Linked DNA regions of Drosophila melanogaster. Changing the gene in region 2 together with the main gene of any one other region gives a genetic interaction. Each region holds a gene or a part of one and is shown on either strand. Other genes may lie near its edges. The genes, in order: stau and Adf1.

The links.
Region 1: of Adf1 (region 2) and stau, changing one suppresses a phenotype caused by changing the other (phenotypic suppression), as found in Drosophila melanogaster (one study listed by BioGRID).

The regions. Positions count from the first base shown.
Region 1 is NT_033778.4:18,122,691-18,127,775, reverse strand, and holds the start of stau (staufen), read left to right. Parts: upstream 1-1,996; 5' UTR 1,997-2,221; intron 2,222-2,848; 5' UTR 2,849-2,897; coding exon 2,898-3,082; intron 3,083-3,902; exon of another isoform or gene 3,903-4,031; intron 4,032-4,913; coding exon 4,914-5,085. Other genes in the region: Spn55B (serpin 55B), read right to left, coding at 479-1,336. UniProt on the Drosophila melanogaster protein: RNA-binding protein which forms ribonucleoprotein complexes (RNPs) that play critical roles in the localization, translational repression and turnover of RNAs during embryogenesis, neurotransmission and neurogenesis.
Region 2 is NT_033778.4:6,660,680-6,668,326, reverse strand, and holds Adf1 (Adh transcription factor 1), read right to left. Parts: upstream 6,058-7,647; 5' UTR 5,880-6,057; coding exon 5,879-5,879; exon of another isoform or gene 5,759-5,878; coding exon 5,570-5,758; intron 4,933-5,569; exon of another isoform or gene 4,271-4,932; intron 4,178-4,270; exon of another isoform or gene 4,132-4,177; intron 1,608-4,131; coding exon 1,314-1,607; intron 1,255-1,313; coding exon 950-1,254; coding exon of another isoform or gene 887-949; 3' UTR 242-886; downstream 1-241. Other genes in the region: CG15908 (uncharacterized protein), read right to left, coding at 1-18, 71-142; Dpit47 (DNA polymerase interacting tpr containing protein of 47kD), read left to right, coding at 6,399-7,028, 7,086-7,646. UniProt on the Drosophila melanogaster protein: May play an important role not only in the regulation of Adh expression but also in the transcription of other genes.

The DNA.
Region 1 (5,085 bases), about 11 Mb from region 2:
AGGTGCTTGGAAAGGTGTGTCACATCCGACTGCAGCTAAAATTCCATCATTTTTTTTTAGGATCGTGCGGCTGATACATGATCTTGAGTTCGAGCCACTAGCTGCCACCGCAATACCACAACAGCTCATTTTGGTTATCTAAGACATTTCTACCCTACCGTCGATAAGCTACTAAAAATAATACATATGTACATCAATAGACGGAATTTTAGAGATAAGTGGGCAATAAATATTTTTGTGGGCGGTTTGCAGCACTGCAACGTGTCCATAAAATTGAATTCTGGATTTTATGGAGAAATTTATTGAGCTACTGCTATTAATAACTCCAAACTTCACCTTAAGCACGCAACATCAAATGGAGGTCAAGGAACTGTGTTATATAAAAACAAAAGCTGACCCCAAATGGAGCTTAATTGTGGCATAAATTGGGTGGAACAATCAACCCCCCCCACCCCCAAAAAAAAAAAATAATATGTACCTGCTTCAGTTTCTCGGCCAATTCCAGGGAGTAGTCCACCTTAAACTTGGGGAACTTGACATGGACCTCTTCCACGGTCAACTTGTCGGCCAAATCCACCAGGTTCACAGTCTTGAGCTTCTCGGCTAGGGCGTAAATACCTGTCCGCTCCTGCGGCAGCAGCACGAACATGGAGAGGTCAGAGTCCTGGTAGGGCATCTCCAGGGCAGTGCAGCCCAGATCTTCGAAGAAGCCATAGTTGAACTTGGCCTTCTGGTTCATGTAGTTGATTTTAACCTGCTCCTCCTCGCCCACCCAGAAGATATCCTCCTCGGTGCGCTCCTCGCTGAACTTGTGCGCCCAGCTGCCCTTGAAGTGGAGGGCATTGAGCAGGACCAGCCTGGTGTTGTCCGAGAACGAGTCCGCGCTGACCAGCTCCGTAATCTTGCCCTGAGTCTTGGCATTCACCCAGGCATTGATGGCCTGGGCGGCGGCATCGTTGAGCGCAAAGTTAATGGACTCCGCCTCCGAATGATACTGCTCCTTGATGGCCGACTGGTAGGCGGGCTTCAGCTGCTTGCCCTCCTGCACGTACAGCTTGTTGGCAACGCGCAGCAGGTTACTGTTGCGGTACTTCTCCAGCACAAACTGGAACGTTTGGGCCACCTCCGGCGGAAAGTTGGAGACGAAGTGCAGTGCCTTGGCGATCTCGTCGGCGGTTTCACCCTGCGATCCGGCAAAGGCCAGGGCAATGCAAGTTTGGATGGAGAAGGGCGAGAAGACGACGTTCTCCTTGAGCCCGCCAGCGCTCAAAAGCTGAAAAAGTTCGCTGGTGAAACGGGCACCTCCACGCGCAAATTCCAAATTGAAATCGAACATATTGACGGACTGAACTGAGTAATTGTGGGTGTGCTGCGTAATCGCGGAACTGCGTGTGCTTGCTCTCTGGTCTGCTGTCTACACCGGAATGCCTTAAATGCCATTCGGGGCCACAACAAAAGTGAAAACATCGGCCAGCCGGCGAATGAGTCACAGCCAAAATATTATCAAAACAATCGAAGCGAATTGGTGGCGTCATCATTTTCATGATCTAGCAACCTTGGGGGCATCCCCGGGTTCATCCCAAAAATAAAAGTAATAGGGCGTTCTTTAAATAGCCACTGTTTTTCAGTTTTTGTTTGTCTGATGATAAAATTCTTAAAAATATGTTTTTATTTTTAATATTATTTTGCAGTGTGACCTTAAGCATTGGCGCCTAAAAACGCTGGCTTTCTGTCCAACAAATACTAAAATACACTTGAACAGGAAAACGCATGCTGTTGTTTGTTGTTTGTAATTCAATCAATAAGCCTGTTAGTTAAATATTTCGTAATTACAGATTTAAATAATTTCGAATTAATATTTATGCCCTTTTTAAAGTTATCAATTTCGATAGGCATAAAATACCAGATCGACTATTGTGCAGCCCTGGCGCTTCTGCGCGCGCGCTTTCCAACACCGCCGTACGCAACCACCCCGCTTCCCGCTCGCCTAAAAGCCATTATTTTTCGAGTTTCATCCGCAGCCACAGTGCAAAATAGGTTTATCAATTTAATTTAAGTGTTAAAGTAGTTCTAAAGTGTTTTTTAAGTTGCGCAAACGATCGAGGCCAGCCCGCATGAATGGATGTGCATGTGTCCATCGATCGAACGGAGTATTTGCATTCAGTTGTTGTGATTTTCCCGTGACCATTGCGTACGAAAATCGTTTTGGGAGCGCAAGAAGGTGAGTTGCGTCTGCAGATCGTTATGCCACTCTCGTTTCGGATGCGGACTGGGAATCGGAATGGGGTTACGGAACGGAATGGAAGGGAAGGGAACAGAATCCATGGATGTGTGGATCTGGGTCTAGGTCTTGTTCTTGGTCTTGGTTTGGGTCTGGGTCCTTGAACCCCTGCACGGAATGCACGAAACCTGAATTGCGCACTGCAGCTGCATTTTATCCGATTTCACCAAGAACACACAGAGGCATAAGGCAACCGGAGGGCCGTAAGAACCAGAAAAGTGCAACCAGGAGTGGTTGCTTGGCATCGGCAACGAATCAGTCGATTTGAACCCTTCTACCCGCCGCCTGTCACAATTTGATTTAGGCCGATGTCGTCGCTTCAGTTGCATTTCTATGTATATATATATATATATACGCATATATGTATGCACACACATATGTATGTATGTATATAGGTAGATACGTGTGCACCATGTCCATTTGCATTTCGCATTTATATGCCCCGCATGCAGTTGCAACTTGTTTACGCACAATCGCCGCACAAAGAAACACCTCCAGGGCCCTTTGTGCGGACAGGGAAAACATTGTTTGTGTCCGTCTCATCCATGTTCCTTTTCCTCCTTGCAGCTGCGGTCGCTGGTTCATACGGGAGTCCTAAAGGTTACAGCTCAAGAAAATGCAGCACAACGTTCATGCCGCCCGGCCAGCGCCCCACATCCGAGCTGCGCACCATCACAGCCACAGCCATGCCCACATGCATCTGCATCCCGGCATGGAGCAGCACCTGGGCCCCAGTCTTCAGCAGCAACAGCAGCCGCCACCGCCGCCCCAGCAGCCTCCACATCGCGACCTCCACGCACGGTAAGCCATCTATGTCGTTGACGCTATCAGGAATAACAATTAAACCAGATAATGCTTCATCCTTCAGTCAAATAAGAGTAGTATCAGTTTATTAAATTGTGATACCTTTTGGAGTTCGGTTCCAATTTAGCAGTTCTAACTATGTTTGGAGTTAAACAAGATGGTACGCCTTGTTGGTTCAGTTTGTTTTCGGAAATGGTTATCATCCCCTTCATTCAATCGAAACTCCATGTAAACAAGAAGGGGTAACATGGGTTAAATAGGTTTTCCAAGTCTAGAAGAATTCCCATCTATCTATGTACAGGAAGGAACTTTTAGATAGGTGTGTTATTAATATGGGATAACATCTTATAGAGTTTCCTAATCTAGATCGAGATCTCAGTATAAATTGTTTAGGCAATAATGTACCACTAGCCACTGGTTGGATCTCATGGACTCAGTGTGAATCTCAGGTGAGGAAAATGTATCTCCCTGGCTTGGTTGGATCCTAGAGAGATTCCACATCGACTCGAAACGCCAGCTTGTCTGAGCTTTATGCGTTGCGGCAATTATGTTAATTCCTGTCACTGACAATTGGTGTGAGACTCATCATCCCATTTTCTCAACTCATAAATTATAATTTCAGTGGCTCTTTGTTCTTTCGCGCTCAGCATGACTTCCGCTCGATGATAACGGGTTTGCCCTGCCGACTGCGCTGCAATTATCCTTGACGTTCGCGAGTATCCTTCGGCTCGGCCTCCAGTAGTTCAGGCTCCTCGTATTGTCTACGATCATATGTTTCGCCAAACTCTCTGCAAACTGCTCATCCAGTTCCGCATTCAGTTGCGTTTTGCCTGCCGGTCGGATCGGGTCGCACATGAATTTATTACCGACGTTCGCTGATTCTAACGTACATTTGCGTACGATCTTTTAACGATCATGATAGACTTTCATCAGTGCCAAGTGAGAGGTGAAATATGCAAGAAGATTAAAGTTATAGAAACTGAAGCGGGATCTAATAAGTTCGCAAGACAATAAATTAAAGAACTCGTAAAGATAAGAGATGAGATTTTGCAAATGAAATCAAATCCTCTTAACCATATAACTTGCAAGTGAAAGGTACGAAAGGAATAAACTTCAGATATTACTACAGATTTGTATTAGCCTGAAATATGGATTATCACATTGCTCAGACTTGTTTTCAAAAAAGAGTGTCCATAAACATTAAGAGCATTCAATTAATTACCTTTCCCTTACGCAGGACATTTTTATCGCATATCAACTGATCCTAATCACAAATTGCCCATATCAATGTTAATTTGAAGGCTTGTTTCCGTACTGATTTAGCGATTATAAATTGCCAAAAATATTTCCTTGTCTTGTGAAATGTACGAGGCTGTAGGTAAAGGTCGCTAGAGTGCTCTCCTACCCTCGATCATTGGGAAAGGAAAGGTAGGGAGCGGTTGCAGGAGCAGGGTGTCGCAGTAGGTGCGTCTCAATTGAAACTGACAGTTGGCGAAAAATGACACGATGCGTAAGAGAATGCGGCTTTTGTGCTTTGTTAGGATTTTGTCCATTGTTCGGCGTGGTCGCTGTTGTCTGCTATTCCGCAGGAACAACAACATACGGCAGAGGGTTGGGGGGGGCCACGAAGCTTCTAGGACCTCTCTCGTTGGTGTTTTTGTTTTTCCCGTGCGCCAGTCGATGTACACTTTTGTCTCGATGGCCTCTATAATCCTCTTGGTGTGCATTGTTTGCTGATATAACCGCAGAAGCCAGCGCATCCGCCCCAGGAGCTCTTACTTGTGGCCATCGATTAACCAATTTGCTTGCTCTATCCTCCGTTTTGCAGTCTGAATCATCACCATCTCCACGCTCAGCAGCAGCAGCAGCAACAGACGTCGTCGAACCAAGCCGGCGCCGTCGCTGCGGCTGGGGCTGCCTATCACCACGGCAACATCAACAGCAACAGCGGCAGCAACATCTCCAGCAACAGCAACCAGATGCAGAAGATCCGCCAACAG
Region 2 (7,647 bases):
CAGATGACAGGGTCGGATCTGTAAAGGGGATTCCTGAGTCTCGGATCTGTTAACGTAGCTGGATACTTACTGCCCATGCGTCATCTAGTGATTCCTTTGATTTGTCCGATTTTGAGTCAGCATTATCCGATTTTGTGGCCATTTCAATTACATAAAATCAATCATTAGCCCGCACAGCTGATTTTGTTTATGCCGCTGGCTCGCGGCGTTGCCATATCACCCCGATTGAAACTAGTCGGTTACTTTCAAATGTTTCATTTAATACCAAATAATTGCACAATTAATCATTAAAAATGTTTAGCAACTGGCGTTGCCGGCAACTATTTCGATTTTACTCGTATCCATGTAAAGTGTGTAATATGCGATCACTATGAAAAAGGTGTTTTATGTTTCCCTTTGTCACACTTAATTAAGCATTTCAAAGTGTCTTTCAAGCGTTTTCGGCATATTACAACAGAACTTATAAAATTAAAATAACTTTTACGTGTATACTTAGTTTTAGAGCTAAGACCCGATGGCAAATTACAACTAAATCGTAGTCAAAATTTACAATACGCTGCATATAAAGTGTTTCCACGGTCTTTTAACAAGCTACTCATAATTCTAGAATCGCTATTTTCAATCGCATTTTTTGTACAGAGCTGAGAACTGGGCGCGAATTAAATCACCGATCATGGGGTCAACTAAGCATATAAATATATATGTTTGTCTACATGGGCGTGGGGAAGTATCATTACGCGTTATGGTTTACGCTGTGGGATGTTACGTCTAATGTTATTCTGTAGTTTGACTTTAAGACCTATGAACTGTAGAAAATGACCGCACAGGACCCCCAAACCCGTGTAGATGTGGATGTGGGTAGCCGTGGGTCTGTTCTCGTTTGATCTCAGGGCAGAACGCTCTCCAGTTGGAGCAGCTGCAGCAGCTGCCGATGACAGCCGCCCGACAGTTAGTACTTGTTGTGCTGTGCCAGAAGCTGCATGTCCGTCAGATACTTGATGATGTGCACCTTCGCCTCTGCCTTTTGTCGCACGCCCAGCGTGTTGAGCATGTCCGTGACTACCATGCCGAACGACTGGTCCTCGGCGCTGACCGCCTGCGAGACGTTGTTTTGGAAAATCTTGATGGTGTTGAGCATGTTGTCGCTGTGCTCCTCCTCACTGCGCTCTCGCTTGAGCGGCGGCTCGTAGAAGTATGGCTTTTGGTCCTTGCCCACGGCAGTGGCCAGCTGTGCATCGCTGGTGACAGTAATTTCTGCAAGAGACCGAAGTATTTAGCAGGGATCTCTGGTGCTGAAATGCTGGTTCACCTACCATGCGGATGGGTCAGTGCCTGGGCCGAGGTTGTGGCGCTGCCGTTGAAGGGCTGTGCAAATATATCCACGACGGTCTGTTGCTGCGCCTGCTGCTGCTGCGACGGATCGGCCACCTGGTTGGCGCTTTGACTCCCATTGGCGCACTTGCCGAGCAGCGACTCTCGATACTGGCGGATGGAGTCAACCAGGAATTGCATCTGCTTGAAGTAACGCCAGCGCGATTCCTGACATAGTTTCATCTCGCGGGCGAACTTGTCGCGCAGACTCTTCCAGCGCTTCGTACATTTTTGTTCTAAAATGAAAAAGAGTTGTTGGTTTATGATTATTAAATGTCCATATTTAATAGTTATTAAACTAATGTTGCCTTTATGTATGCATTGTCTATTAACCCACATTTAATATATGTATGATCCAAAATAAAGAAGCCTTAAGTTCTGAAAACTCAATCTACTATTTTATTGCTTGGTTGGTAGATTTTAAAAAGGTCGCATAAGCTCATATTTCGTCTGAAATTTGCGTCACATTTTTTTGAGAAATTACTGACTGCCTTTCTAATGACTCACTTAAAAAATAATAAAAAAAATGTTTTTAGTAAGCCGAAAATATGTATCACATGTTTCCAAAAGTCCATCAGCTAACTTAAACAATATTTTACATCGGCTAAACGGATGAGCTGGCTGACTCAATATAGATTGTTTACTCTAGCAACGAGATGCAATGTTCAAACTCATCATACACTTTCCTAAACTACCACTTAAAGAAAAAAACGTTTGCGAAGAAAAGGGCATCTGACTATTATTGCCTTCTCCCTTGGTTTTAAAATAGGCTGCAATGTGAACTGATTGGATTTTCGGGCGACCTTCGCCTTCCTTATGATCCTAGTGCGAAAAGTTAAATTTATCAACATTCTTCGTGAGCTGCAAATCCTCCAAATAAATGAAGTGATAGAAATAAATAAAAAAAAAAAGACTGTGCCTATAATTAGGTGCGTCACTGTACATATGTATGTACATATATCAGCATATCATACGTACATAAATGTACAGTTTGTCAAGAAACTGTTTACACACTGTAAAATAAGTTTAATTTTTGACTTTAAAGCTAAAAATAAAGGGTTTTTTATGCTTAATTAAACGCAATTTTTTTTATAAAATATAATTAAACAATATTTATTTTACTTATAAATCAAAAAACAAATTAAAAATATTAAATATACAAGAAAATAAACAACAAATTCCAAGTTTACACACTTTTGAGACTGTCAAGAAACTCTTTACACAAAACACTAAATCGAAGTTTAATCCTAAATTTTTTAATTATTTTATTAAAATTTTAAAAGTTTTGGTATGTAGTATGTTCCCCATTGGCTTTAGCTACAAGTTGAAGCCTTTTTTTCATGGATTGGACAAGTTTTTGCAGGTCATATTCAAACGGGATCTTTTCACACTCTTCGACTATTACAGTCATAAGCTGTTGTTGTGTTTTAGGTCCCTTTTTGCCACCTTCTTCTTTAAGTAGGTCCACAAATTTTCAATGGGGTTCAGATCAGGACTCTGAGGGGGCGTATAGATCACTTTACCACAGTTATTAAGGCGCCAGGTGCGTACATTGCACTCTTTATGTTTCTGATCATGTCCTGGTAAAACTTAAAATTTGGCTTGTTGTTGCTAACCAGACTAATTTTTTCTACACTGGCCTTCAAATTTGTTTTCTAACATTTCTAGATATTGCACGGCATTTATTGTGCTCTCAATTAAGGCTAGTTTTCCCACTCCACGGCTGGTGATACAGCCCCACACCATCAGTGACATTTTTCCAAATTTTATCGTTGGAATGATATTTTGTTTTTCTAGCGCACTCAACGGTTTGCGCCATACTCTGCTTGGCCCGTCGTTATAAAAGAGCATCATTTTTGTTTCGTCACAAAATATGACGTCATCCCAGTACTCTTCCGCATGATCCATCATTCACAGGGAATGAATGACGCTTTTCAATATTGATCTCTGATAGCAAAGGCTTTTTTCTTGCAACTCTTGAAGAGTACCTATGGCGTAGGATGACTTGGCGCACAGTTTCGTGTGACACAGTTAGGTGACATTCTTCCCTGATATCCTGAGCAAGTGATCTGACCGAGATTCAGGGGTTCGCAATCACTTTTCGCATGATAAGGCGGTCTACTCGCTTGTTAATTTTGGTTTTCCGCCCACCACCACTCTTAGGTTCAAGCCTGCCCTCTTTTTCCGAGCCTTTTAAAACATTGTAGACGGTCTTACGGGATACAGGAAACATTTATACTAATTCTGGAAAAGATTTTCCCAACTGGTGGTTATAGTTTATTAATTGGGTAACTTCAAAAGTTAATCTCTTTCCAGGCATTTTATTAAATTTAATAATTCGCTTTAAGCACGTTTGATCAGCAAAATTTCACAAGCAAAGTCAACAAATTTCAATAGAAGCGTTGTAAAAAGCAATGCAAAGCCAAAAATAACGGAAAAATCGAGTTCGTTCTAAGAAAAAGAACAAAACAAAGTAGGAAAACAAAATGTGTAAAGAGTTTCTTGACAGTCTCAAAAGTGTGTAAACTTGGAATTTGTTGTTTATTTTCTTGTATATTTAATATTTTTAATTTGTTTTTTGATTTATAAGTAAAATAAATATTGTTTAATTATATTTTATAAAAAAAATTGCGTTTAATTAAGCAAAAAACCCTTTATTTTTAGCTTTAAAGTCAAAAATTCAACTTATTTCACAGTGTGTAAACAGTTTCTTGACAAACTGTATGTATTTTATTTTATAGGGTAACCCGTCAAATGCTTGATAAAGTATACCTCTATAAATGAAAAGAAAAAAGAAACCAGATTCGTAAGTAAATGAAATGTTTCTGAAAATATTACAAATCTAATATAAACTAAAATCTTGTTTCTGTTACATTGAATAAATGCTTTTTTCTCGAAGACCTGTTCATAACAACCGGTGCAAGCACACCTGCGCAGCTGTGCGTGGCGGTTCTCCACAGAAGGTTCTTCAAGAAGCTCTGGACTAGTGTAGTCCGGAACTGTGCAGAAACTAGAACTATGCCATCAAACCCACCCAAAGAAGCATCAAATCGGGAACCAAAACAAACCGTTGGCAGCAGCAGCGTCGGTGGCAGAAGGAAGGCAGCGGACAGCAGCTTCCCAGCGCCAGCAGAGACGTTGACGTGACGGTGGCTGTGACGTCGCCGACTCCCGCTGCCCGCTGCCAGGAGACGGAAACCTGTGGCATTGCTGCTGGCTCCACTTGACTGCAACTCCAGCTTTCCAGCCACCTACTTGCATAATCGAAAGCGGATGAGGTGCAGCGATTTGGCCGAAAATTTAAGGTTCGATCAACGGCCGTCGAGGGGGTGGGGTGAACGGTACATTTTGTTGGTATACTCATGAAAACGAAACGAAAGCTGCCTGGTCGGTCTCCGGTATGTACAGTGGGACTCTGAAGTGTTGACACAGCTGTTCTAATTTGTGCTTATCTATTGACCTTTCCAAAGCCCTATATTTTAATTTTCCGAATTCTCATCCTATTCAATATTAAAATAAAATCCATAGTTTCGTCTAAAGAACTGAGCAACTTATTTATTTTACTAATAAATACGTATTTATAACCCGTGCCAAACTGTTTTCTGCCACTGTATGCTGTATGCATGTATACGTGTGTGAGCAGCGCACATCGCAGTCGCAGTGTACGAAAATAAACGCTGGCGCAAGCAGAATGGCTGCGGAGCGAGCGAGACAACTACTGCGACGCGACGGCAAAGTACAGCAACTTCAAAAATATCGACTGAGCACAGTCTGCACACCGACAGAGCAAGCAGGGCCGCAGTCCGAGCGCCCGAAAGGGGCGCTCATTTTAGAGCAGATCTTTACAGATAGAAATTAACCTAGGTTTAATTACTAATGAACTGTATTCTAAATGCAACCATATAAATGCAGTAAAAAAAGTTCGCATAAAATGCAATTTATGAGCGGTGCAGCCCGCGCCCACCCTCACACGTATAGATCCCCCCCTGCCATTTCCTAACCATCAGCCAGCTACTGCGCCGCGTCGCCGTTCACTTTTGCGTCGTTTTCTGTCGTCGTCGTCGACTGACTTGTCCCGCCCCTTCGACCTGCGCCCGCACAGAATTAATCAATTGGCTGGGGCTGGTTGGGGCACGGACCGAAGACGGCTGACAGAAAGCAGAAAACCCGTAGCCAAAACCAGCCGAATTTCACTTACCAGGCACACCGAGCGTTTCGGCGATTTGTTTCCAGGTCTGGGCCTTGCGCACAAAGTGCTTGTAATTGTAGTGCGACCTGTCGTATATCACTGGGTTCAGCTTGACAGCCTCGATGAGATTGAGATCAAACTGCTGCTCAAGATTGGCATCCAGCTTGTCCATCTCAATGGCCGCCGTGAGGGTATGCACTGAGGGGACAAGACGGGGAAACAAGAGTTACAAATTTAGCGGGGACGAGACGGACGTGGACTGGGTCGGATCCCAGTTCCAAACTGGGCACACGGGCTCCCGCAGCCGACGACACTCACTTTGCTTCTTACGTTTGCTAATTGTTGTTAAGTATTTGGCGCGAACGCACGCTCTGTTTGTTTTTATTTTGATTGGTTTCTTCTACGAGGAAGGAACGTCGACGTTTTAATTTTATTTCTCAGTCGCGTCTCTGCCAACGGTAACGGTACGTCCCAGCTCAGTCGCGTCTCTGCCAATTAGGGGTGGGAAAACGCCGATGAAGGGGTCATCAGCGCATCGATAATTTTAAAACTCTCATACAATAACAATATGTTATGGCGACTATCGATGTTTCTGATATATCACAACAGCTGCGTAAAGCGTCAAAAGGCTTAAAGTTTTACCATGTTAAGATTTAAGATGTTAAGATCATAATTCGTTCCGAGTTTAGCTCGTTTAAAGAAGGAAGCGTACGACTATCGATAGACGGAGGGCCACCCTTATTTTAGAGGCGCCACCTTTAGGAAATGTGCGGCACCTTTGGCCAGTTGGTATATTGTAACGGTTCGTCTGCGGTCACACTGTTTCTGATTAGACCAAATGAAACAAATGGCGGCACAAAAAGCCTGGACGGATGAGGAGCGTCTGGAGCTGGCGGCCCAGCTGGACGCGGAACTGGATGCGTTTATCGATGGCCTGGAGAAGAAACGTTACGAGGAGGGCTGGCCGGAGGACCGCTGGCAGGAGGAGATGGACAAGCACCCGTTCTTCATGAAACGTGCTCCTCAGCCAGGGGATGACGTGCATCCGATGTTCGAGGGTCTGCAGAAGCTCAAGTACGATCCGGAGGAGAACACGCGCGACGAGCTGGCGCTCAACTACAAGGAGGATGGCAACTTTTACATGAAGCACAAGAAGTTCCGCATGGCAATCTACAGCTTTACCGAGGGCATCAAGACCAAGACGGACAATCCCGACGTGCTAGCCGTTCTCTACAACAACCGCTCGGCGGCTCACTTCTTCATCAAGAACTACAGATCCTCGCTGAGCGACGCCCAGCGAGCTCTGTTCTACAAGCCAGACTACACAAAGGCCCGCTGGCGGTCGGCACAGTGTGCGTACGAGCTGGAGAGGTTCGATCTGTGCACCCAGATGTGCGAGGAGCTGCTCGAGGTGGACGTCGACAACGAGGTGGCCATCGCGCTGCTGCACAAGAACAAGATGAAGAAGGTTAGAATACGTGATCCAACTGGATAGGAACCCACATTAAACAAGTTATTTCCGTAGCTCGAGATAGAACGCAATCAGCGCAAGGAAGCTGCCGAGGCAAAGCGACGGCTTACACGCTTCCACAGACTCCGCGACGCCATCGAGCAGCGCGCCATTAAGTTTGACGATCAAAAAGTTGGCAAAAAGGACGTCCTCAGTGAGGAGCTCCTTTATCCAAAGTTTCTGCCTTTGGAGGACCATCCGGTGCACCTAGACGAGGACGGCAGCACTCTGATCTGGCCGGCTGCGTTCTCCTACCCCGAGTTCCTGTACAGCGACTTTTATCAGCAGCTGCCGGAGACCACCACCATGCGGGATTGCCTGGCGACGCTGCTCACCGAAAAGCTGCCATACGACAAGGCACACAACTACCGCCTGGGTAACGTGCACGTTTACTACGAGAACCGCAAGGTGGGCTGTGTCCACAAGGTGGACGAGGAGAAGCAGCTGGCCGAGATAATCGCCGAAAAGGGGTTTTTCGTTTCCGGTGGCGCTCTGCTCTTCTATGTGGTGCACAAGGATTCGCGAGTGGAACAGGAGTTTATAAACGAACGGCGACGACCCATGGTTTACAGTTAAG